Tamandua tetradactyla: one gene and its partner. The protein of the gene in region 2 interacts with the protein of the main gene of each other region in a biochemical or structural test. Links are inferred from orthologs where the notes say so. Each region holds a gene or a part of one and is shown on either strand. Other genes may lie near its edges.

Region 1 (11,540 bases), on a different chromosome or scaffold from region 2:
CTGTGGCCTCTCCCCTCAGTCACTGACCAAGTCCTTATTACAGGTCTCACCCTAAGTATGGCCTTACTTCTCTTGCTTCCTCTTTATAGTTCATTGTTTTATTAATGCTTCCCTCAGCCTCTGGCCACATCTCTCAAAGCTATTCTTTGTTCAGTCCTTCCTCTACCCATCAATTATTGGTTCATTCTTAACACTGGCCACACCACCCCAAGGTCCTCATTATCATTAACTACCCCTTCTTAGTGCCAACTTATCCCTAATCACACCTTCAGTTGATTCCTTTTTCCGTTATTTCCACCCTCCCATCCTTTTCTGGCCCGACCCCTCAGTTCACCACCTTACCCCTGGCCTTCATTGACAATGAACTTGGTTCTCAAAAGAATGCCCTTTCCTTGACCCTGACCCTTCCCCTCCAGGCTATTCCATGTGTTCATAAAAGGCAGTGCAAGAAGCCTTCATGGAACTGGGTTTGGCTGGTCTCTACCTGGACACTCACCCAGATTTCTTCCTGCGCCTTTTGGCAGGAACTGCAGTAGGGTGGAGAGGGTGGAGAGCTGCTCAGGAGTCAGCTGACGTAGCTCCACCCCGTAACCCGCCAGCACAGCTGCCAGTCTCTGCACAGTCACGTCTCCTGGGAGCCAGACACAGAACTTAGGGCTGCGGGTGGAATCAACTCGTGGGATGCAGACGGGTGAGTGGGGGGTGGGAGGACCTTAGCGCATTTATGAGCTCCTCAAACACCCAGACACCTGCCCTCCCCTTCTTAGCCATTGTCCTTCCAGGGCAAAGACCAAACTTCAGGGCCACTGTGGACTTCTGACTCTTCATCTCAAGAAGAGTCATGCCAGGTTCACTCACCACTGTATCCCCAGTGCTTACTAGTGCCTGGCACAGATCAGCTTATCAGTAAACAGGTAGTTACTGAATGAATAGCTTTAAGGAAAAATTAAGAAATGCATGGATAGTTAGGGAGGAGTCCCCAGGGTCCCCAAGCAGGCCCCACAGACAGGGAGGTAGACAGTGAGGACTCTGTTACCTGACTGGACTGCTGGAGAAGGAGGCTTCTTCCTGTGACCCCCAGGTCCTTCCTCCTCATAGTCCTCTGAAGAATCCTCTGTCTGACTCCCTTGCTCTGGCAGCCTTGGCATCTTGGCCCTGCTGGGCACTGGCAGCTCCTGGGCCAGGTAGAGCAGCCCTGAGTCCTGGAAAAGCTGAGCAGGTGAAGGCCCTGGAGGATCCCCATAGGTGTGGCCAGGATGGGCCTCAAACATGCCCTTGAAGGCAGCTCTACTGAAGAGGGCAGGGGGTTCAGCCTTGGGCAGGGGGCCAACATTGACCATTGCTTGGGAACTCTCTGAGTTCCGGGAGCCATCGTGGGAGCCAAACTGTGGGAAACCAGAGGTCCTTGTAAGATGGGTAGCCAGGACTGGAGGATTGGGGTTGGGGTATTGCTAAAGTCTAGGGCTCACCTGCTGGAACAGGTAGGGCTGTAGCAGGGCAGGTTCATAACTCAGAGCAGAATGGGGGGTCTGTGGGGGCAGCAGCAGATGCTCTAAAAGAGGAGGAAGCAGCTCGGCCTGCAGAGGGGACAGGGGGGAGCCCACCCCAGCTCCACCCCCACCTGGCAGAGGTCGAGGAAGCCGGTGCTGGGTGGCAGGGGCAGAGCCAGTGGGGATGCCCTGTAAAAGCAGCTCCCCAGTGGTGGCAGGTCTCCTGGACACCAAGCCAGATCTGGGGAGGAAAGTAAAGTGTGCATTTGTGTGTACTTTAGTTGTGGTAGCAAGTGTATAGAGAGCCTAAAGAGGCAGAGATGGTGGGGACAAACCAGCCTTAGCAAATCAGAGTGGGCCCGTCCTCTTGAGAAATGAGGTGACTGCAAGGGAGGAGAGAGTAGCATGGGGAAGGGCTAGAGGGTGAAGCCTAGGACAAAGTCCATCTGCCTCCCTGCTAAGCATGCCTAGGATGCCCAGATGCAGCTGCAGAGGTTAGGGAAGATTGAGGTTAGGTATGGAGAAGGGGAGAACAGGAGCAGTAGAGAGCAGCTGGGAGCCTTTCTAGATAAACTGCAGCTCGAGGCTTGCTCATTGCTTCTATGTGCCATGTTTCCAAAATGTGGCCTTTCAAGTGTATGTTTGAATATTCAGGACTGCCTCCTCCCACCACCCACCTTGTACATCTGATATCATCACCTGAGCCCCATGGGCCTCATTTACTTCCCCCTTGCTTTAGTGGCCCTAATCACAAAAAGATAATGGTGCCTCCTGCCATATGTAATTCTACATAAGAACCAAACAAGTATTAAATAACTCAGGTCCAACAAAATTATAATTTGCCCCATGCTGACAACTTTCTCACTTATCTTGGAACACTAGATGTCAGTGTTTTTCAAAGCAGTTTTTAATGCCTCTGTTTTGCTGGCTCCTCAGGAATGAGCTCAGCTCCTGTTGGATATGTGGCAGTGTCAGAGGGTGACCATTCAAGGGTCTTTTTAACCTGTGCCACAGCTCCAGCCTGCTGACTTTGATGCCCACTTCCCTCCCCCTTCCCTTCATCCATCAGAGTGACCACAGACCCAACAGACTTGCCATGCTACTGTTGTCAAGAAAGGCTGCCTACCTGTCCCTCAGGCGGGGCTCTGAGGAGCGAAGCCTGGGGATGCGCTCCATCTCCTGAGAGATGACATACTGGGTGAGGTCATCATGCCAGGACAATCCTGCCAGTAGACAGAATGGAGTGAGATTAGCTCCTGAGTTACCCCAAGGGTTCAGTAACAGGGACCAGTGGAGTCAGACTTCTTGGGTTTGAATCCTGCCTCTGTCACTTACTAACTGAGTGAATCTGGGCAAGTTACTGAATTTCTCTGAGCCTCAATTCTCTCATTTGTGAAGTGGGGATTCATACCTTCTATGACTTTTGTGGTCCTTAAAATAACCCATATGAAATATTTGGAATAATGACTGTCACATAGTGAACATTCAATAAGTGTGATTATCATCCTCATCATCATGACTATTAACGATTATTCTTTTTGCTGATCCCTACCCTTAGTTTTCCTTATCTGTATGTAAAGTGGGAATAATACATATTCCATGGGGCTGTTGTGAAGATCAAGTGAGATCAGAGAAGTGAAAAAACTCAAAAGTACTATACACATGTTTTAAACTCATCATCATCTTATCCTGAGGCAGATCTGAAACTGTACTCTTGGGAAAGGTCAGTTTTTATTCCAAAGGAATCATCTTCTACTTTCTACCCCCATTCTTTCTTTCCTGCTTCTGGACATGTAATCTATGGTACATGGCTAAATCCAGTGGTCAAGTTTCAGATATCATCTTACTTAATCTATCATCATTTGACACTCCTTCCTCCTTGATAAACTTCACTTGGCTTCTGGGAACCAGTTAGTCTTGGTTTTCCTCCAACTTCACGGGCTCCCCATTCTCAAACTCTCTTATTGGTTCCTCTCCTCCTGGTCCTCTAATATTAGAATTCTTTAACACTCAATCCTCAGTCCTCTTCTTCATATATATTCAATCTTTTGGCTATCTCATCCACTCCATAGCTTTAATTACATCTATATTCCAAAGAATTCCAAACTTATATCTCTACTCCAGACCACTCTCTTGAAGACCAATCTCATAAACTCAATTTACCACTCTACTTAAATATCTAATAGACATGTTCAAACATGTTCAAAACTGAATACCTCCCAAGTTGATCCTTCTGCAACTTTCCACACATTAGTTGATGGGATCTCCATTGAGTCAGTTGTTTAAGCAATAGGACCTTGGTGTCATCTTTGATGCCTCTCTTTCTTTCACAGCCCACATCCAATATGTCAAGAAATCATGCTGACTACCCTAAATAGATATGCTGAATCCTATCACTCTTCACTGTTTCCTTGCAATTACCCTGGTTCTAGCTGGCCTCACCTCTCACCTGGATTATTGTGGTAGCTTTTCATTGGTCTTCTTGCTTCTGCCCTTGGCTCTTTACATTCTAGTGATCCTTTTTAAGTAGAAGTCAGATCATGCAACCCTGTGCTCAAAATCTTGTGATGGCTTCCTCTTTCACTCAGTGTAAAAGCCTATGTCCATCCAGTATCCTATAAGACTCTATAATGATAAGGCTCCTATAAAGTTCTATAATGATTTGTGCGCACACACACATTATCTACCTGACTGCATCTTCTCTTTCCCTCCATTACTCTTCTACAACTACACTGGTCTCCAAGCTGTTCCTTTAATCAGTGCTCCTGCCTTAGGGCTTCTGTTCTAGCTGTCCTGTCTGCCTAAAACACTCATTTCCAGAATAAACTTCTGGAAAAGTACCTTATGAAATTCTTTAAATTTCATAGTGTCAGTAAGATCTACTTGGATCACCCAACTTAATACTGTATTTTACACCATTTCTGATCCCTTTTATCCTGCTCTAACATTTTATTTTTCCATGGCACTTATCATCTTCTAACATACTTATATTTTCTATATACTTTATATGGTATATCCCCACCTCCATCCCTGAATGTAAACTTCAAAAGGCAAGGATCTTTGTCTGCTTTATACCCAGATTTATCCAAAATATCTAAAACAATGCCTTTTGTATGTTAAGCACGCAATAAATATTTGCTGAATGAATTAAATGGATAGGTGGGATACGCTCCTGGCTGAAAACCCCAGGATTTCTGACTCTGGAGCACCCAGACAGTTCCAGAGGGTGGGGCTGGCCTTAAGGAGATGGAAGCTGGCCTCTTTCAGTGGTTTCTTCTAGAAGTAGATATGTAGGAATGTTCCATGCAGAGATGTTTGTGATAGGAGAAAGCCTGTCCTCAGGTTAGGAAACTTCTCAGTTTCCCACCCACATATAACCAAGTTCCATCTTTCTCCTCTAGTACACCCAGACCTCACCTTGGGACATGAGTTGTCGGAGCACACCTTGTAAACGCTGGAGAACTGGGGAAGTGACTTGCAGAAGGGGCCGGGCCTGCCCCACTCCCACCTGGCACTGTCCAAACAAGCCATCTAAGAGCACAAAAGTGGCGTCAGCAGGGGGCTTGGAATGGGAGGCTTCCAAATTCAGGTTGCAAATGAACAGAACTCTTTCCACTTTCTTTTGTGGTTTCAGAGAGCTCTACTTCTCCAAGCCAGCCCCCTTCTCCACAGGGCCAATATTTCTCCTCCCTTCTGGTCTTCCTCCCTCCACTTCTTTTTATTTAGCTTTTTTTTTGGGGGGAGGTGAGGTGGGGAAAGAGAGAGGCTGCATAGTTCAGGAATCGACCCTGACTCTCTCGCATGGAAGGCGAGCATTCTACTACTGAGCCACCCGTGCACCCCCTCCATTTCTTTTTTATTATGTCATCCCAGTCTTACGATTCTTATGCCCGGGCCTCCTCACTCACCCTGAATACAGACTTCAAGGTGAGAGCACAGCCTCCGGTCAAACAGGCAGCCTGTAGAGGGATGGGGGAGCAGAGACTCAGACACCCACCCACACATCAGATGATCAGAGGCACATGCCCAGAAAGCAGGAAACAGATGGGGTCCATTCCTTCATTCCAAGGAAGGCTTTAAGATTGGAGGAGAGTAGGGAAGTGCCTAGAATACTTAAGAGAAAGAAGAATGGGACCTGGATTTGGATTTTTAGGATCTGCAAGACTAGATCTTTTCCCTAAAAGCCAATTTGCTCAATTGGCCAGCAGGGAGAATAAGCGAGTGTTGGTGAAGGATGGTATATTCCACTCTCACAGAATTAATGTGGGAGAGTTCTGAGCTAGATTCTGGGGAACAGGGGACTTTCCTTTCCAAATATCCATAATCATTCTAACAATGATGGCTTGGAGCTCAGAAAAGGCGACAACCCACACATACTCTGTGGGGTAATGAGATAGAGGCAGCGCCCCGCCCCATACCAAAAGAAAAGGGAACGATCCTGGCCACAGCCCCTCCTGTTTGCCTGCCCCAGGGCATTGGGCGCTGTCCTCGGTGCTGAAGTTCTGAGCCTGGAGCTGCTGATGGCTCGTCTGGAGGCAGTTTCGGGAGAGGAAGGGGTGACCGGGCGAGAAGTCTCCACAAGAACCTCTGTCCCACCCCTCTTGCACCACTTTGCTAGCCCCCAGAGCCATAGGAAGTACTCTGCATTGGCCTCCAAGCCCGACTGGGGAAAGGGGGGGCCAGACCGCGAGGCTGCGCCCCTCCCCACCCGGTGCCCCCCCACCCCGCCCCCGGCCCGTGAGTCAGCGCTGACTATCTCTGTCCGCTCAGATGTGAGTCAGCACCGGGCCTGGTTGTGAGGAGGGGTCGGAAAGGGACCCTTCCCTCTCTATCCTCCGCTGCCCTTTTCTCTCGCTGTACCTCTCTTATCGGAGATAAGATCGCAGCAAGCCCTAAAGAAAAACCCTGGCCCTTTCCTTGGCCCAGCCCTCTACCGGGAGCCGAGACCCCGATGCCCGCAGCTCAAGCTCCTACTGCCGGAAGATCCCCGTTCCTTTTGCTCCCGCCTGCTTCCTACCCCTCAGCGCCGGCAACAACCTCCCTGGTGCCTCGATGCGACTTGTGAGGTCCTGTAGGCCGGTTCTAAGTCCCTTTGCTTTATGCACCCCATCCCTCCTCCAGAATCCGCTATCTTCCCCTGAGCCTGCTTCTCTTAGGTCCCGCCCCAGGATTCCGAGCCCCACCTCCAGGCCTACGCCCCTTTCCTTCCAGAAGCCCTCTCACCTTTCTCAGCATGCAGTGTCTCCCTCCACTCCCGCCCCCACCTCCCCACCCCCCCACAGTCTGTCTGTCTGAACTTCCCACCTTCGTGCCTCTCCACCCCTTCAGCCCTGGTTTTGCTCTCCGTCCCTCCCTTCCCACGTTTCCTCCTGACCGTGTGCACTGATGGCACTGCAGCCCCCCGGGCGGCTGCCCAGCAGCAGGAGGCAGAGGAGCAGCCGAAGACCCCTGGATCCTCCGGGACCCCCGGGCTGCCGCGGGCGCCGCATCCTTCCGAGCTCGGCGCGCTGGCTCCCGGGCCTGAGCCGCAGCGACGCTGGCGGGAGCCGGCCAGAGCGGCCACGAGGCGGAGTCTGCGCGCTCCTCTCGCGGCAGCTCGACCCAGTACTAGCGAGTGATGACGACACCGCCCACCCCCGGTTCTTAGGCCTATTTGCGTCATATATGGCGTAACAGCCCAGTCGTAGCGGGGTGCCTACCCTTTCCGTTCCTCCCCCACCAAATACTAGGCGCCTCACTAGAATTCCCAGTTGGCCAGCCACATCCCTGTTGGATATATGTTCTGCCCAGAACCACCACCTCTATCCCCCAGTCCCAGGGTTGGAGAAAAGGATTATAACTGGGTGAGGGCCAGGAAAGATAAGTGAAACGGGAGTGTAAACCCTGAGGCAAAGAGCAGAAAAATGAATAGATACCCTTACCCATCTTAATGAATGGTTCAGATGTCGTCCTTAGAAGAAGGAACTGAATTCCAGTTCTGGCAATACCTCCTACTTGGGGTATAACCTTGTTGCTGAACTTCTCTGCATCCAAGTTTCCTGATCTATAAATTGGGGATGCTAATAGTTCCTCCCTCATACGGTAGTTGTGAGAATTAAATGTATTGAATATATGTGAATCACTTAGAAAAGTGACTAACTGGCACATACTAAACTCTGCTAGTCACACACTAGCTTTTGCTATTAACCTTGGTTTTCTCTTTGTCTCAACACCCTGCACCCCTGCCAGCCCATCAACCATCTTATGGCTTATATCTGCAAAACACATCGCATGTCAGTCTACTTTTCTCCATACTCATCTAAACCACTGCATATTTTGTATCACCGCTGTGGCAGTAATCACCTAGCTGGTCTTTTGCTTCCATTCTTGTCAGTCTATGAGCTGGAGAGTGAGTTTTCTAAAATTCAAATTTGATCATATTACTCTCTTGCTTTAATAGTCTCCTATTAAACCCCGAAAAGTTTTCATACTTTAACAAAAAATTTCCAACATCCAAAAAAGAAAAAGATAAAAGTACATAGTAGGGCGGGCCACGGTGGTTCAGCAGGCAAGAGCGCTTGCCTGCCGTGCCAGAGGACCCCGGGTTCGATTCCTGGTGCTTGCCCATGTAAAAAAAAAAAAGGACATAGTAAACATTCATAAACCTATTAGCTAGTTTTAACAGGTTATTGAAATTTTGCCAAATTTGTGTAACTTAAGTATTTCAAAGTAAATTACAGATATCATGATATTTCACTTATAAATATTTAAATGTGCATATCAAAGAAACAAGGGACACTTTTTCACATAACCAAAATACTATTGTGACACCTAACAAAATTTACAATGATTCCCTAACATAATTTAATATTAAGTTCATACTAAAATTTCTCAAATTGTTTAAAAAATGTCTTTTTTCCAACTGACTTGTTCAAAACAAGAGTACATCCAGGATCATCATTGCATTTTATTAAGGTTCTTAATTTTCTTTTAAATTAATACAGACACTGCCATGCCCCCATTTTTTTGTCAGTCTTTTTTTTAAAAAAATGTATTTTTATTGAGATATCTTCATGCACACACAGTCCTTCCAAAGTATGCAATCAGTAGCTCACTATTTCATCACATAGCTGTGTATTCATCACCATGATCATTTTTAGAACATATGCATCATTCTATAAAAAGAAATAACAAGAAAAAAGAACAAAAAACATACATCCTATACCCCCTTACCCCTTCCTCTCATTGACCACTGGTATTGCAATCTACCCAATTGCCCCATTTTTTTTTGTTGTCTTGTTGAAGAGGCCAGATCAGTGTTTCTACAGAATTCTCACCTTCTGGATTTGTCTGATTGTTTCTTTGGTATGTTTACTTATTTCTCTATTCCTTGGAGTTCTTGTAAACTAAAAGTTAGATCTAAAGACTTGATTAGATCTAGTTAAAATTGTTTTAAGCAAAATGCTTTATAGGTGATGCTGGATGCCTCCAATTGCATCATTTCAGGAGATTTATAATGTCTGGCTATTCCATTATTAGTGATGATAAATTGATTATGGTAGAGATAGCCATATATTTGAATTTGTAAGGTTATGTTTCCTCTTGTGACCATCATATAATCTGTTCAATGATTCTTTGACATTGTGAGACTATCTAGTTCCCTACCAACTTTTTGTTTGGTTTTGTTTTCCTTATGGATATTCATATATATTCTTAACAAAGCTTTTATTAGGAATAATGCATGTTTTTTAACAAAATAACTTTCCCTTCAAACAAATCAGTATCAGAATCCTCAAATCACCAGAGCTAGTTGCTATAAACAAATTGATAAGTCTTTTTCTGTGAAAAAATAACTAGAATAGATGTTTTTTTTTTTACCTACAAAGACTAATACTATACAAGCTGTTATTAACCTGCTTTGTTCACTTAGCATGTTATGGATAACTTTCCGTATCAGTGCATGTAGACTTACCTCATTCCTCCTTTTTTTTTACCCCACCCCCCTATTTACTTATTTATTTATTTATTTATGCCTATATTTTCCTACTCATCTGTCCATACATTGGATAAAAGGAGTATCGGTCACAGGTTTTCACAATCACCGGGTCATACCATAAAAGCTATATAATTATACAGTCTTCAAGAATCAAGGCTAGTTGATTACGGTTCAATGGTTTCAGGCATTTCCCTCTAGCTACTCCAATATACCAAAAATTGAAAGGGGTATATATATATATATATATATTGCATAAGAAAAGCCTCAAGAATGACCTTACAACTGTATTTGAAGTCTCTCAACCATTGAAACTTTATTTTGTTTCATTTCTCTTCCCTCTTTTGGCCAAGAAGCCTTTCTCAATCCCATGATGCCAAGGGCAATCTAATGCCCAGGAGTCATGTCCGCATTTCCAAGGAGATTTATACCCCCCGGGAGTCATGTCCCATGTAGCAGGGAGGGAAGTGAGTTTACCTGCAGAGTTGATTTAAAGAGAGAGGCCACATCCGAGCAACAAATGTGGGGGTGACTCAGGCATAATTACAAGTAGCTTAACTGTTTACTTTGCAGGAATATGTTTCATAAGGCAAGCCCTAAGATTGAGGGCTTGGCCTATTAAATTGCTAGTTCCCAAATGCTTGCAGGTGGGAAAGTTTAATATTTCCTTCAGTACCTCAAGAGGACCTTGCCAATACTTTTTTATCTTCTCCCAAGATTATTCTGGGATGTATCAGGGTGTGCTGGTTGTGAAGTGTTGTGTACCCCAGAAAAGCCATCTCCTTTAATCCTGATTCAATATTGTAGGGTGGGAACCTTTGATTAGATTGTTTCCATGGAAATATAATCCACTCAATTTTGAGTGTGACCTTTTGATTAGATGGAGCTGTGACTCCACCCATTTATGGTGTGTCCTGATTAGTTTACTGGAGTCCTTTAAAAGAAGAAACATTTTGGAGAAAGCTCAGGTGCTTAGAGAACAGTTGCTTGAGAAACAACATGAGACCCCAACATTTGGAGATGCACAAAGAAATGCAAAGGACACTGTTTGAAACCAGAAGCCAAAGACCCCAGCAGACACCAGCCCCATGCCTTCCCACCTGACAGAGTTGTTCTGGACCCATCGACTTTCTTGAGTCAAGGAATCTTTCTCTGGATGCCTTATCTGGACATTTTTTTGACCTTAGAACTGTAAATTTGCAACTTAATAATTCCCTTTTTAAAAGCTGTTCCATTTCTTGTATATTGCATTCCGGCAGCTTTTACAAATTAATACATAGGGCATCACACTAACCCGTGCAAACCAACAAGATTTCATTCCGCATTCAAAGTTCCATGTAATTAGGGCATTTGAATAAACAAGTTAAGTTGGATATGTGTGCTACAGAAAATATAAGTTTTGCACCAAATAAACATCTTCTTTTGGTCTCACACAGAAGTTGAAGTTTCAAAATACAGTCAATATTCTCCTTCACCCTTTAATCTGATTTACCTTAGTCCTAACCAGATCAGCTTCTTTTATATCTCTAATTGAAGTCTGATCTCTTTTTCAGTGCTTATAACAGTTGCTGTACGGGGTAACATTTACTTTTATAGTTGCAGAACTCCTGACTCTGAGCCTCAGGTGTCAAATAGATACCCAAAGTTCCAGGGAATGGCAAAGAGCTCAGCATCTCAGAATTTAGAAATAACAGTTACACCTCAGGAATAGATGTGACTGCTGTTAGAGTTTACAATCTAGGAACCTTTACAATAAGCTTTCCCCTGATAACCTATGCTCTCAAATTCAATTGTCAGAATTTGCACATTATAATTAGTACATATTAGTGAGAAATAATATCTGTCTTTTCTTTTCTGGCTTATTTTATTTAATATACTGTGTGCAAGGTTCACTCACCTAGTCGCATGCCTCACAGCTCATTACTTCTTGCAGCCGCTCAATATTCCATTGTATGTATACATTACCGTTAGCTCTTCTTTTCTTCAGTTAATGTACCCCTAGGCCACCTCCATCCATTGCAAATCATGAATAGTGCTGCCATAGACACCAGTGTGAAAATGTCTATTCATGTCCCTGC
Region 2 (11,540 bases):
GATGACTAATTTAGTTAAAAGCAGATAATTTAACATAAATCCACTCAACCAGGCCCAAATGAACTGAAATAATTTGCAATGTGATAATTAGTAAGGTCACCACCAATCAACCCCTCTGCTTTGTGAAGCTTTTACTCTTCCCTCAGGACATTATCTTGTATTTCAAATATGTCACAGCACCATCTTACACAGACTGAGAGAAACAGTCATCTACATATTAAATATTAATAATTCTCAACTTCTTTTTCTTTCAGATTAAAGAAGTAAATACACATCCCACTTAGCAACCACTGCTTGGCATTGCACACAAGGTGCTTCATGATCTGGCCCATGCCCATGCCTTTCCAGCCTGCTCTCCTGGTACGATACTTCCTATACTTTACCTGTGCTGAATTACTTCTTTCAACACACCAGTTAATTATCACTTTCTTACCTTTGACATGCTGTCTCCATTGTCCTTCTACCTCTGCTTACAGGGCACTATGCTCTCACCTCTATTAAAGCACTTATCACAACCTGCTATAATCGTTTCCTTACTAACTTAAAAGAGTAGGGTTTACTCTGAACTCTTGACTTCCAAGCATCTACAACAATTTGTTTAAATTAAGTACTTAATAAATGTTGATTAACAGAAAGGGCTTTCAAGACCTTCCATAATCTGCCTCTAATCTACCTACCCAACTTTATTTTCATCCCACAAATCCATTCCAATTAGCCACTTGCTTTACTTCCTCTCATATGTCATGCTCATTTTGGCTTTTGCTCAGGTTATCCCCTCAACTTGGACTGCCTTCCATCTACACAGAAATAACCTGCCCTTGAAGACTCAGACCAAATTTTCCTTTCCCCATGAATTCACACTCAACTCTTCTATCCTTCATTAGCCATTCCTTTTAGAGAAATAGTACAACACATTTCAGCAATTTTTCCCTATGTAGTAGTTTTCTCTCCCCTAATTTATCTGGAAGTTCTTTGATGCACACTGCAAATTGATGTTTAAAGATATGAGTGACTGGTTGTGGGTAGCATGGTACAGAGGAGAAAGCACTGTACTGGGTTTTAGTCCAAGTTCCACTACTCCATCATCAGGTGACCCAAGCATGGCACTGACCTTCTCTTTAATTCCTCATCTGTAAGATGATGCTTTACATTTTTAAAAATAAATGCCTGGTAAGATATTTCCTCTTACCCAAAGGAAATATTAAAATTTCTCCCCTAAAAATCAAGACAAATTCTAAGACACAATAGGAAAGTCACTTAACCACAGTTGAACCTCAGTTTAATCTTCCGTAAAACAAAAATAAACAGCCCACTCATCTCAAAGGATGGTGGAGATATCAAATGACAAAGTACAGTAAAAATGCATAAACAAAAATCCTGATAAAAAATGTAAGTACTGTTATACTGTTAAGTAGAAAATGCAAGCATTACTTATCATTCAGTTAGTTGGACAGTGTGCCAATTCATCCAAGGACACTGATTGAATCCTTGAACAGTCAGTCGGCACAGAACAACAGAACACTGTTCCATAGTCTCACGCTGTACCTTACCCCTTATGTACAAAGGCACACATTTGGTCACAAAGTAAAATAACCTTTATACAAGAAAGTCTACACAGGAGGGAAGACATCAGCCAAAGCTATCCTTGAGATCTAAGTTAAAACCTGGCTATGGTCCCTAAAAATGTTCTTAGAATTTTCATAGCCATTCTGAGAATAAATCAACTTCTCTTATATTTTGATAATAATCTGAGGTACATATTTTAGCATGAAGGGGATTCTATAGGAAATAATCTGGTTACAAAGATATAGCTTCTCATATAAGCATATCTAATCATTCAAGTGAAACAAAGTGCTATTAAACAAAAAGAAACAAGTACAAAAACATAAGCATCCTGGTAATTCAGCTGTTTTTTAAGAGTCAGATTAATGAACATGCAGTCTGAAACAAAATGTAAAATGTCTTCTCTAAGAGTCTCGCAACTTGTACAACAAACAATAAAGAAAGTGGTAGTACAAGAATCCAGACCAGCTTTTTTAACTTTACATCCTAATAGGGGAATTTGCTACTGTAGTAGTTGCTATTATGACATGTACATTTATTATATGTCCCCAAAGAGTCAAATTATACATATCACTCAAAATCTCAAACCATTCTGGATACAAAAAAATGTTCAATTCTGAAGTTGAATATCATACCAGGCCACCTCCTTTCTATACTTAACTTTTTTTTTTTTCTTTTCTAGAAAATTCAGGAACAATACTGTTAGAATCATTTTTAGGCAATAAAATATGAACTTTCAACAATATTCCAGTGAGAACTGCCTAAAAAAATATACATTTTTATCAAATATCAAACTTCAAGCTGGGCACTTTATACTGTTTCCCCTATGCTCTGCTGGAATACTTTTCTACATGTAGTTTACTTAATGTTCATTTAATTTCATAGCCTTAAAAATATAAATTTAGAAGCTTTCTGGATACACCTATTTCTAGCACAAAGGATACAGTAAATTCAATACACAATGTCTAATAGCTGAGTAGCATCACCACTTTATGTTTACAATCTGCATTATTAATACGAAGGCTATCTAATCTGCATGTCTTAATATCGGTGCTAAGAATCACTAGCCAAAGCTACAAGCACAAACTTACTGGCAAGTTTTAAGGTTCGAAGTGTGAAGAAAGAGGGAAAAAAAAAATCTAAGGGATGGGAAATTTAATGCAAAATTTAAGAATAAAAATGTACTATGCGAAAGGTGGTAGAAGAGCAGGAAAACAAAATTCAAAAAAGTCATTTGCATCCAAGAAATACAAACTTTCTTAACCTATTTACATAAAACAATTGTTATTCTTATCCTGCATTGCTTTTCAGGTAAAATGGAGCCCTGTATTTTAACAATATGCTTTCCTGGGTATCTTTGTTAACTCACAAATGCCTTCATAACCTGGTCCTATCTCTCATTCACACGTTTAAACATTTTGTTCACTGCTGTATTCCCAACCATTAACAAGAGCCAGGACAGTGAATCAAAAAAGCCAAAATGCCCTTGGGGGACTGGGGAGAAAGGAGGGAATATTAAACTTTCCCATTTGGAGCATTCTTGATATTCTTGGAAGCAGTGGGGACAAACAAATCAATAGGCTGAGGCTTCGCTCTTGGGTTTCAGTCCTATGGAACTTATTCCTGAAAAGGATAAACTAAGCCTACTCATAATTATGCCTAAGAGTTCGTTGCTCAGGTGTGGCCTTTCTCTCTAAGACAACTCGCAGGTGAACTCAATGCCCACCCCCCCCATGTGGGACATGACTCCCAAAGGGTGTAAATCTCCCTAGCAATGTGGGACAGCACTCCTGGAATGAGCCGGGACCCAGCATCATGGGATTGAGAAAACCTTCTTGACCAAAAGGGGGAAGAGAGAAATGAGACAAAATAAAATCTCTCAGTGGCTGAGAAATTTCAAATAGAGTCGAGAGGTTATCCTGGAGGTTATTCTTATGCATTATATAGATTTCCCTTTCTGGTTTATGGTATATTGGAATGGCTGGAGGGAAGTTATCTGAAACTGTTGAGCTGTGTTCCAGTAGCCTTGACTCTTGAAGATGACTATGATACAGCTTTTACAATGTGACTGTGTGATTGTGAAAACATTGTATCTGATGCTCCTTTTATCCAGGGTACAGACAGATGAGTAAAAAAAATGGATAAAAATAAATAAATAATAGGGGGAATAAGGGGTAAAATAAATTGGGTAGGTTGAAATACTAGCAGTCAATGAGAGGGAGGGGTAAGGGGTATAGAATGTATGAGTTTTTTCTTTTATTTTTTTTATTTCTGTTTCTGGAGTTAAACAAATGTTCTAAAAATGATCATGGTGATGAATACACAACCATGTGATATTATGAACCACTAATTGTACACCAAGTATGGAATTATGTGTGTGAAGATTTGTCAATTAAAATAAATTTTTTTAAAGTGCTAGGAGCACAAATTGTTATCAGATGAATAATAACCCTTTGGGAGAGGTATTATTACCACTTAATTTTACAAATGAGGAAACTGAGGCTGAGCAAGGTTTAGTAACTTGCCCAGGCATACCATAAATAGCAAAGCCAGAAATAAACTCAGGTCTGTCTGACCACCAAGTCCTTGCTCATACTCTACCCTTACTAGGCAGAAAAACTTAATGTCCTGCACTTCTGTGTCTTTACTGATGAAACTCTCTCTTCTTAGGGCAAAGCTCTCATCAAGCTTCAACCTTTTCCTGTACATCCTCAACCTCTGATTTCCACTGTGGACTTATGTACAACTCTCTCTCCTTTGTGCTGTGCCCTCTCCAGACCTGTTATAATAGCACTTTTAGCCCCTTACTATACTTACCTACTTAGCTCTCTTATTTTAACTCTAAGCTCTCTGAGGGGAGGAGTCAAGCGTCTCTGGCATATGATAATGTTCAATAAATGTTTGATGAATTAATTAATGAACAATCCCTACAAATCACTGGGACAAAAAGGGGCCCTATAGCTCAGTTCCCTAAGCACAGGCAACCAGAGATACGGCATGAGGGTGGCAAGGACATGCTTGAAATTCCCTGCCCACAACATAAAAGAGCATCACTGTGCTATATTAAAGCAGTTTTCAAGTTTTGAGACATCTAATTGAAAGGACAATACAGTATGAAAATCTTAAGGGCCAAGCATAAAATCTATCATTTAAAACTGGCCTACAAGTCTGGGATCTGTCCTGTAACTACTTGTTGAAGAGTGCTTTGAAAACTATTGCTTTTTTATTTCTTTGCTTTGTATATATATCATATAAGAAAATTTAAAAGTTTAAAAAAATTATCTATATTCAAGAAACAAAATCAAGTTTTAAAAAAATAATGAGGGGAAAAAAAAACTGGCCTATCAGGAAGGGACACCAGCTCTCAATTTTAAATATCGCTTGACTGTTTCAATTAAGTCACTGTTCTCAGTGACTTTGCGTATTTGGAGTAGTTTTATTTTTTATACTCCTTGACTTCAAAATGAAATGTCATAAACCTACCATACTGACTTACACCAATAAAGACAAAACTGCTTGTCTTTTACCAAATAGGAAAATAAAGTAGAACCTGTGTGTTACGTAAGAAGCATTCAATAAGTATGCCATTGTAAATTATCTTTCTAAAAGCAGATGTGTCTTCTTTAGGCTAATGAATACTGGGTAGTATTTTCTAGATGGTTTTCATTTTACTGATAGGAAAACCAGGTTCAAACTATATTAAAAAAAAACAAACAAACTTTTTTAAAGGTATCTTGTAAAGGGCTTACTGTTTGCCGGTCATCACTGAGAACTACAAAAACAGTACTGAATTCAGTATTCTGGCCCTGGGAATTTATAACCAAATGCTTAGCTGGACTAATTTCAAGGTACACATTTAAGATAAAAAAATTTTTTTACACACACACTGCTCAATCATAACCTATAATTTAACTCCTTTTTTTAACACTAATTTCTGACAGTGAGTTGTCTAGCCCCACTACATAGTATACGGGATATAAAAAGGACTTATAAATAGGATATTATAAAAGCCAGACTCCTTAATTTTACAATTGGAGCCCATTAAATCACTGACTTGCAAACTAATACATTTCTAAATATTCTCAAGCAGAGTTGGAAAAAAGTGAAAAGCATTTTCCAAAGCTAGAACTCTAACTGCTTAGTCTGATGATTGGTTCCCCGACGTCCATCCCTTCTCTCCAGTTGCTGCTCTGCCAGGAATACCCTCCTGACTCATCCCTGTCTAAGTCCATTACTTCCTTTGAGACCTGGCTCAAGTTTCAGCTCCCTGAAAAAGTCCTCCCTGAGTAACCCCCATTTCCACTACTTCCTAACTTTGCATTCTCTTGACACTTACAGTTTGCAGTAAATAATCAAGCTGTTTTTCATTTTTTCTACCATTTCCCAAACGAGACCAAGCAGGGACAGCATCCTCTACTTCTTTTATATTATCATCTACATAGGCAGCTAATAAATGCTTATTAAATGATTAAATCACCATAAAAGAAAGAAAGCCTACCGCGCAAAACTTTCTGAAGCAACCACTTGGCTTTTCAGATCACATTCATAATACTCTATCACCACGCATGAGTCCTTAGAGGAGATGAGAATATTGCCTTATTTCCAAAAATTCATCATAAAAGATCCAGGCTACAGATTGCTATCATATCTCTCTCTCTAAGATAAAGAACAATCCTACCTATTCAAGCATAGCTTGTTATTTGCCATTTCAAGCTTCTTATATAAGAAAAGGCTTAATAGTCTTGAAGCAGCACGCCGGTGAAGGGTAGGAAGCTGGCACCGGTCTCTTGCAAAAGGGGCAAAACTCTAGTTGGCAGTAAATGTTCAAACACGTGAGCCTCCACTGTTAAACAAGGCTCATTAACCACCCAAACTTGCTGTTTCAGCTTTCTGGACTCAATGAAGTGCTATGATCTCCTTTTGTTATTGTTGAGAGCCAATGATGGGTTAAACTCCCATAAATTAACTGGCGTTTTGGTGGTTTGCCCAAGCATACTGCTGGCATCAGTGTGGATGAATTTTTTTTTCACAGACCCGCCCGCCCCAGGCAGCCAGAGGTGAATGAAGAAAGAGCCAACCCGGCCCTTCTCAGCCGACAAACCGAGACCTACAGAACTCGAGCCGTCCGGTCTTCCTCTAGTTCTTAGTGTCAGCTAATCAGGCAGGGGGGAGGGGGGAGACATCCTACGCGGCTGCTTTGGACTGACCGCAACCCAGCCTCCCTTGGGGGCTCTAAGCCACGCTTCGGCGGCTGCCCAACTTTTGCTACAAGGAGCATCAGTTTTTCCACACTGGAAGCCCCCAGAAAACTGGGTCCGGGGAGGGACGCGCCACGAGGAGCGGGGACGGACAGCATTCCCGGCGGGGTGGGGGGGGAGAACAGGCCCTCTCCGCAAAGGGGGCAGGGTGACAGAAACAAAGTGAGCGCAGTGAGCCCGAGCGCCGCCCGGCCCGCCCGCCGGCCCCGCTCACCCTCCAGCAGCACCTCCTTGCCCGCGCGCTTCAGCGCCTGCACGGCCTGGTCGTGGGTGGCCTGGCGCAGGTCGGTGCCGTTCACCGACAGGATGGCGTCGCCCAGCCGCAGCGCCCGGCTCTGGTCGGCGGCCAGCCCCGGGAAGATCTTGGAAATGAGGATCGGCATCCGGTTCTCGCGGCCGCCCTTGATGCTGATGCCCAGGCCGCCGGCCTCCTGCTTCACTACCCGCACCCGGCGCACGGGCGGTGACGCGCCCGCCTCGCCCGCCTGGCCCCGCGGCGGTGCGGGCGGGCTCGGGGGCCCCAGGCCGCGGCTCGGGCTCCCCGGCAACGAGTCGCCGGCGCCGCCGCCGTTCGGGAGGCCGTTGAAAGCGGCCGCCCCCGACCCCAGAACCGGCTCAGGCTCGGCCGCCGCGGCGTCGCCCGTCAGGCTCAGGCTCTCGCCGCTTAGTTCGGCCACCACCCGGACCCAGCGTTCCCTCAGCAGCAGCTCCACCAGCCCCGCTTTGGTGGCCCGTGTCCACACCGCCATGGCCGGTCCCGCTCCCGCCGCTGCAGTCGCCGCAGCTACCCTCATTCCAGTCAGGCAGCCTCGGCGCTTCCCCCTTCCCGCCCGAGGGGGTGGGCCCGGCACCTCCTCCCGCAGCGATTCATTATTCATGAGACGCCACGCCCACCTCCCGAAGGGGCGGGGAGAGGCCCGCGCAGCCGCTTCCGGGAAGGTAAGAAGTTGCTGCGAGTGGGGTCCCTCAGCCGACTTGGACCTGGTCAAGCGGAGCATGGTGGGGCTCCCTTGCACGTCGTCCTTCCATTCGTTCCCCCCTGCTCTATCAAACCCCTGTTCTCTACCGTGCAATTCACCTGAGCTGCCTGGGCACAGAAAGCAAATTCAGTTTCGAGAAACACTTTGCAAGCCTGCAAGATCTGAGTTGCACATTCACTCTTGCATCGATTGGTTCCTTCCGTATTTATTGAGCGCTCAGCCGTGTGTCTGGCTTCTGTTGAGGCCCTAGAGATGAGCTGAATAAAATGTACCAGAGCTAAGCGCTCACGGTCTAGTGGGGGAAGAAAGGACATAAACAACCAATAGGGATGATTCTATGTGCTTAATGACAGAGAGCAGAGTGAAAGGAGCATCTGGTTCGGCACAGGAATCAGCTTCAGAGAGGCGACAGGGGAGGGCGATCAGCTCAAGAAGAGGAAACTATAAGCAAAGGTCCAGTGACATGAACCCAAGCACTTGGCCACTCTGCTCTGTAATACTTTTTACTTGCCTATAATTTGAGAGGGGACCATGTGTTCTTCAGCCCTGCAGCCACAATAGGTAAGCTTCAAATATATTTGCAGAATGATGTTACTTAGGAAGATGCCAAAATTCCAATGTGAACAGAGACAGATAGCTTCAGTGGAGGCCGCAGGCTATGAATGTGAAGTGCCTCTGTAAATCTGGGGGCCATGATCTCTTTGTTCTGGGGATCCCCAGAAACTGTATGTCAAATTTAGCCTCTAAGGTAATTTTTAGAGCCCATAGCTTTTATTCATTTTGCAGAGAACTCCCAGGACAAAAGACCCCAAACTGCTGCTGTGCATATTGCAGAACCTGCAACAGTTTTTATCTGAGGACTTAAGTAGTACGATAATCTGTCCACCTTTTCCAGCTTCGTGGAAGAAGAGCTGAAAAAAAACTGAGCGCCAAAAAGCCAAAGGCTCTTCCTGTCCAGAGTTCATGGTGAGGAACAGAGATCACAACTCCTTCAAATCCTCCTACCTCCTAATCCAGTGCTTTTCACTAATATGTCAGACCTCAATAATGAGAAAGAAAGTAGATTTAAGGTTACCAGGGCCTGGAGTGGAGAAAGGGGAATTGGGGAATAAAAACTAATAGGTACAGTTTCTGTTTGGGTTGATGAGAACGTTTTGGTAATGGGTGACAGTGATAGCAGCACAATATCATGAGTGTAATTAATATCACTGAATTGAACATACGAAAATGACTAAAATGGGAAATTGTGTGTTGTATCTATGTTACCACAATAAAAATTTTAAAAAGGGGGGGATCCAGAAATCATATTGCTGAAAACAGAGCTCTCAGCAAAAACATGAGGTCAAGGGGCCCTCAAACTTTCCTTCAGCATTAAAAGTGAAATCCCATGTTTCCATTTTGGGGCCAGGCAGGCAGAAGGAAAGTGCATCAATTCCTGTAAAAGGGGCTATATACCTAATTGCTTGTGGAGCACACGTTGAGGCTTATAAACCATGTCCATGCACCACTCTAAATGCACATTCATATGTGGGCAGAAACTTCTAAAGAGCCTCCTATACCAGGAATGAAAACAATAAGGATATGGGCTGGGAGGTACCCACAGCCTAAAGAAAGAGTTTAAAATGAGAAAAGTATCCTACCAAAAAAATCATTACAATAGATTCCTATTTGCAATTAGTGGGACAGGATTTCCCAAGCTGCAAACATCAGCAAAAGCTCAACCCTCCAGCTGTCTCCTGAATCAACTGCAATGAGGCCAGCTCGCTGTCTTGGCAGGTCCCGATGTGCCCAAGTGCACCTGCAGTCACAGACATTTCTGGATTTGCTCCGCTGAGGGGTGAGCCTCCAGAGGCCTGAGTTATATGAAATTTCTGCTTATTAGAGAGCACTTAGTTGATTCCTTAGAGTATGAGCACTATTTTTAACACTTTAACACTAATTACTCAGGGGTTAGATACTTGAGGACACTTTTAAAAGCAAAAGGGAAGTGCTGGAAAGTCTTTCCAAGACTATCAAAACCTTTTGGTCAACAGAGTTGGACAAAGTCAAGGATCTTCAAACTAGAAGTGAGGGCACTTACACAAGATAGCAAGTCATATAACAAAATATCTAACATTTAGAGAAGAAAGCAAAGATTGGTATTTGTATGATTACATGAAGAATTTTCCTTAATAACCTTTTTAAATCCCTCCATAAAAAATGCCCAAATTCTCCAAGTGTATTTACAAGGCCCTCCACAATTAGAATCTGAATTAACTTGTCAACATTCTCTTTCATTACTATTTTCAGATCTGCCAAACTAATGCAGTGTCCCCCAGTGATATCTTCCAAATATCTGCCCCCTTCAAACTCATTCCACCTAACAAGATCTTATCCCAGCTTTAACTACTAGCCAACTGGTGGGGATTCTTCTTTTGATGTTTTTCCTATGCCTGTTTTTTTTTTGTTTTTGCCCAAGCAGATTATAATGTATGAAGGATAAGGAACACCCATTGACTTATAATTATTCCCCACTATTCCAAACCGATTGCCATGCACAGAAGGAACTCAGCATGTGATTGATTGAAATCCAGTGCTTCTCATACTGTGATTTTTTCAAATAATCCCTCTGATGGTTATTGGTTTCTTTTTTTTTTTTTTAACAACTCTTTTTTTTTTTTTATTAACATGGGCAGGCACCAGGAATCAAACCCAGGTCGTCTGGCCTGGCAGGCAAGCATTCCTGCCTGCTGAGCCACCGTGGCCTGGTTATTGGTTTCTTGAAGAGTGAAAATGATCATCTAGGAAATCTCAAGTAGTCAGTGAAAATATGCTTACTGTGGATAATGAAACCTGAAATAAAGAGTATACCTATGTTTCCACAGTTTCTTAAAGACAGTGACACAGCTTAGGTAATTCTCTCAACAGACATTTTATCTAACTCTAAAAAAGGAAATTTCTGATTCTTGCTAACATTTATTCCTATCACCTATCAATATCTATTCTCCTCTACTCAAACTGTTATCTCTATTATTTCTCTAAGGGAAAAAGGGATCATTGTTACTTTTGAAATAAGGGTGATTAGGTCTCTCAGTTTCACCTTACAATTTTGTGACTAAGGTTCTGATTCTTGCTCTCTTAAATCCCATATTTGAGGGGAAGAATTTTTTTTTTTTTCTTCTCCCTCCTACTAGATATATAGTAAGTATAGCATGGTAATTAAGAACACAAAGTTCAAATGCTGGTTTGGTCACTTACCAGCTATATGTCAATGGTCTAGGGACTGAGGTCTTTGGCCTTAAGTTTCTTCTATGGAAAAATTCAGAAACCTTCTACCTCTAAGGGTGGTTGTGAGGATTGAGTGGGATGATGTATGCAAAGTGCTTAGCAGTACAGTGCCTGCCACACAGTAAAGGTTCCACAAAAAGTACTCAACTGCTGTTATTATTACCTACTGACCTTCAGTTGAGAGTTTATACTTTATCTAGGAATGAGTATGCCATAATGCCATTTGATTCCATGCTTAAAAGGTAAATGGTGTGGCAATTTCCATTTTTATAGCACCAGTGTTTATAGCAGCATTATTCACGTTTGCCAAGAGATGCAAGCAGCCCAAATACCCATCAATGGACTAGTGGATAAACAAGTTGTGCTGTATACATACAATGGAATATTACACAGCAGTAAGGCAGAATAAAGTCATGAAGTTTCCAATGACGTGGATGAATCTTGAGGACATTATCTTGAGTGAAATAAGCTC

The links.
Region 1: the proteins of SNTB2 (region 2) and PTPRN form a complex in vitro, tested with the Homo sapiens proteins (2 studies listed by BioGRID and IntAct). The link is inferred for Tamandua tetradactyla from reciprocal best matches to the Homo sapiens genes SNTB2 and PTPRN.

Annotation. Positions count from the first base shown.
Region 1 is NC_135329.1:195,056,433-195,067,972, forward strand, and holds the start of PTPRN (receptor-type tyrosine-protein phosphatase-like N), read right to left. Parts: upstream 5,967-11,540; coding exon 5,909-5,966; intron 5,450-5,908; coding exon 5,399-5,449; intron 5,022-5,398; coding exon 4,908-5,021; intron 2,714-4,907; coding exon 2,617-2,713; intron 1,732-2,616; coding exon 1,470-1,731; intron 1,386-1,469; coding exon 1,037-1,385; intron 632-1,036; coding exon 497-631; intron 1-496. UniProt on the Homo sapiens protein: Plays a role in vesicle-mediated secretory processes. Required for normal accumulation of secretory vesicles in hippocampus, pituitary and pancreatic islets.
Region 2 is NC_135342.1:63,168,748-63,180,287, reverse strand, and holds the start of SNTB2 (beta-2-syntrophin), read right to left. Parts: upstream 7,660-11,540; 5' UTR 7,616-7,659; coding exon 7,036-7,615; intron 1-7,035. UniProt on the Homo sapiens protein: Adapter protein that binds to and probably organizes the subcellular localization of a variety of membrane proteins. May link various receptors to the actin cytoskeleton and the dystrophin glycoprotein complex.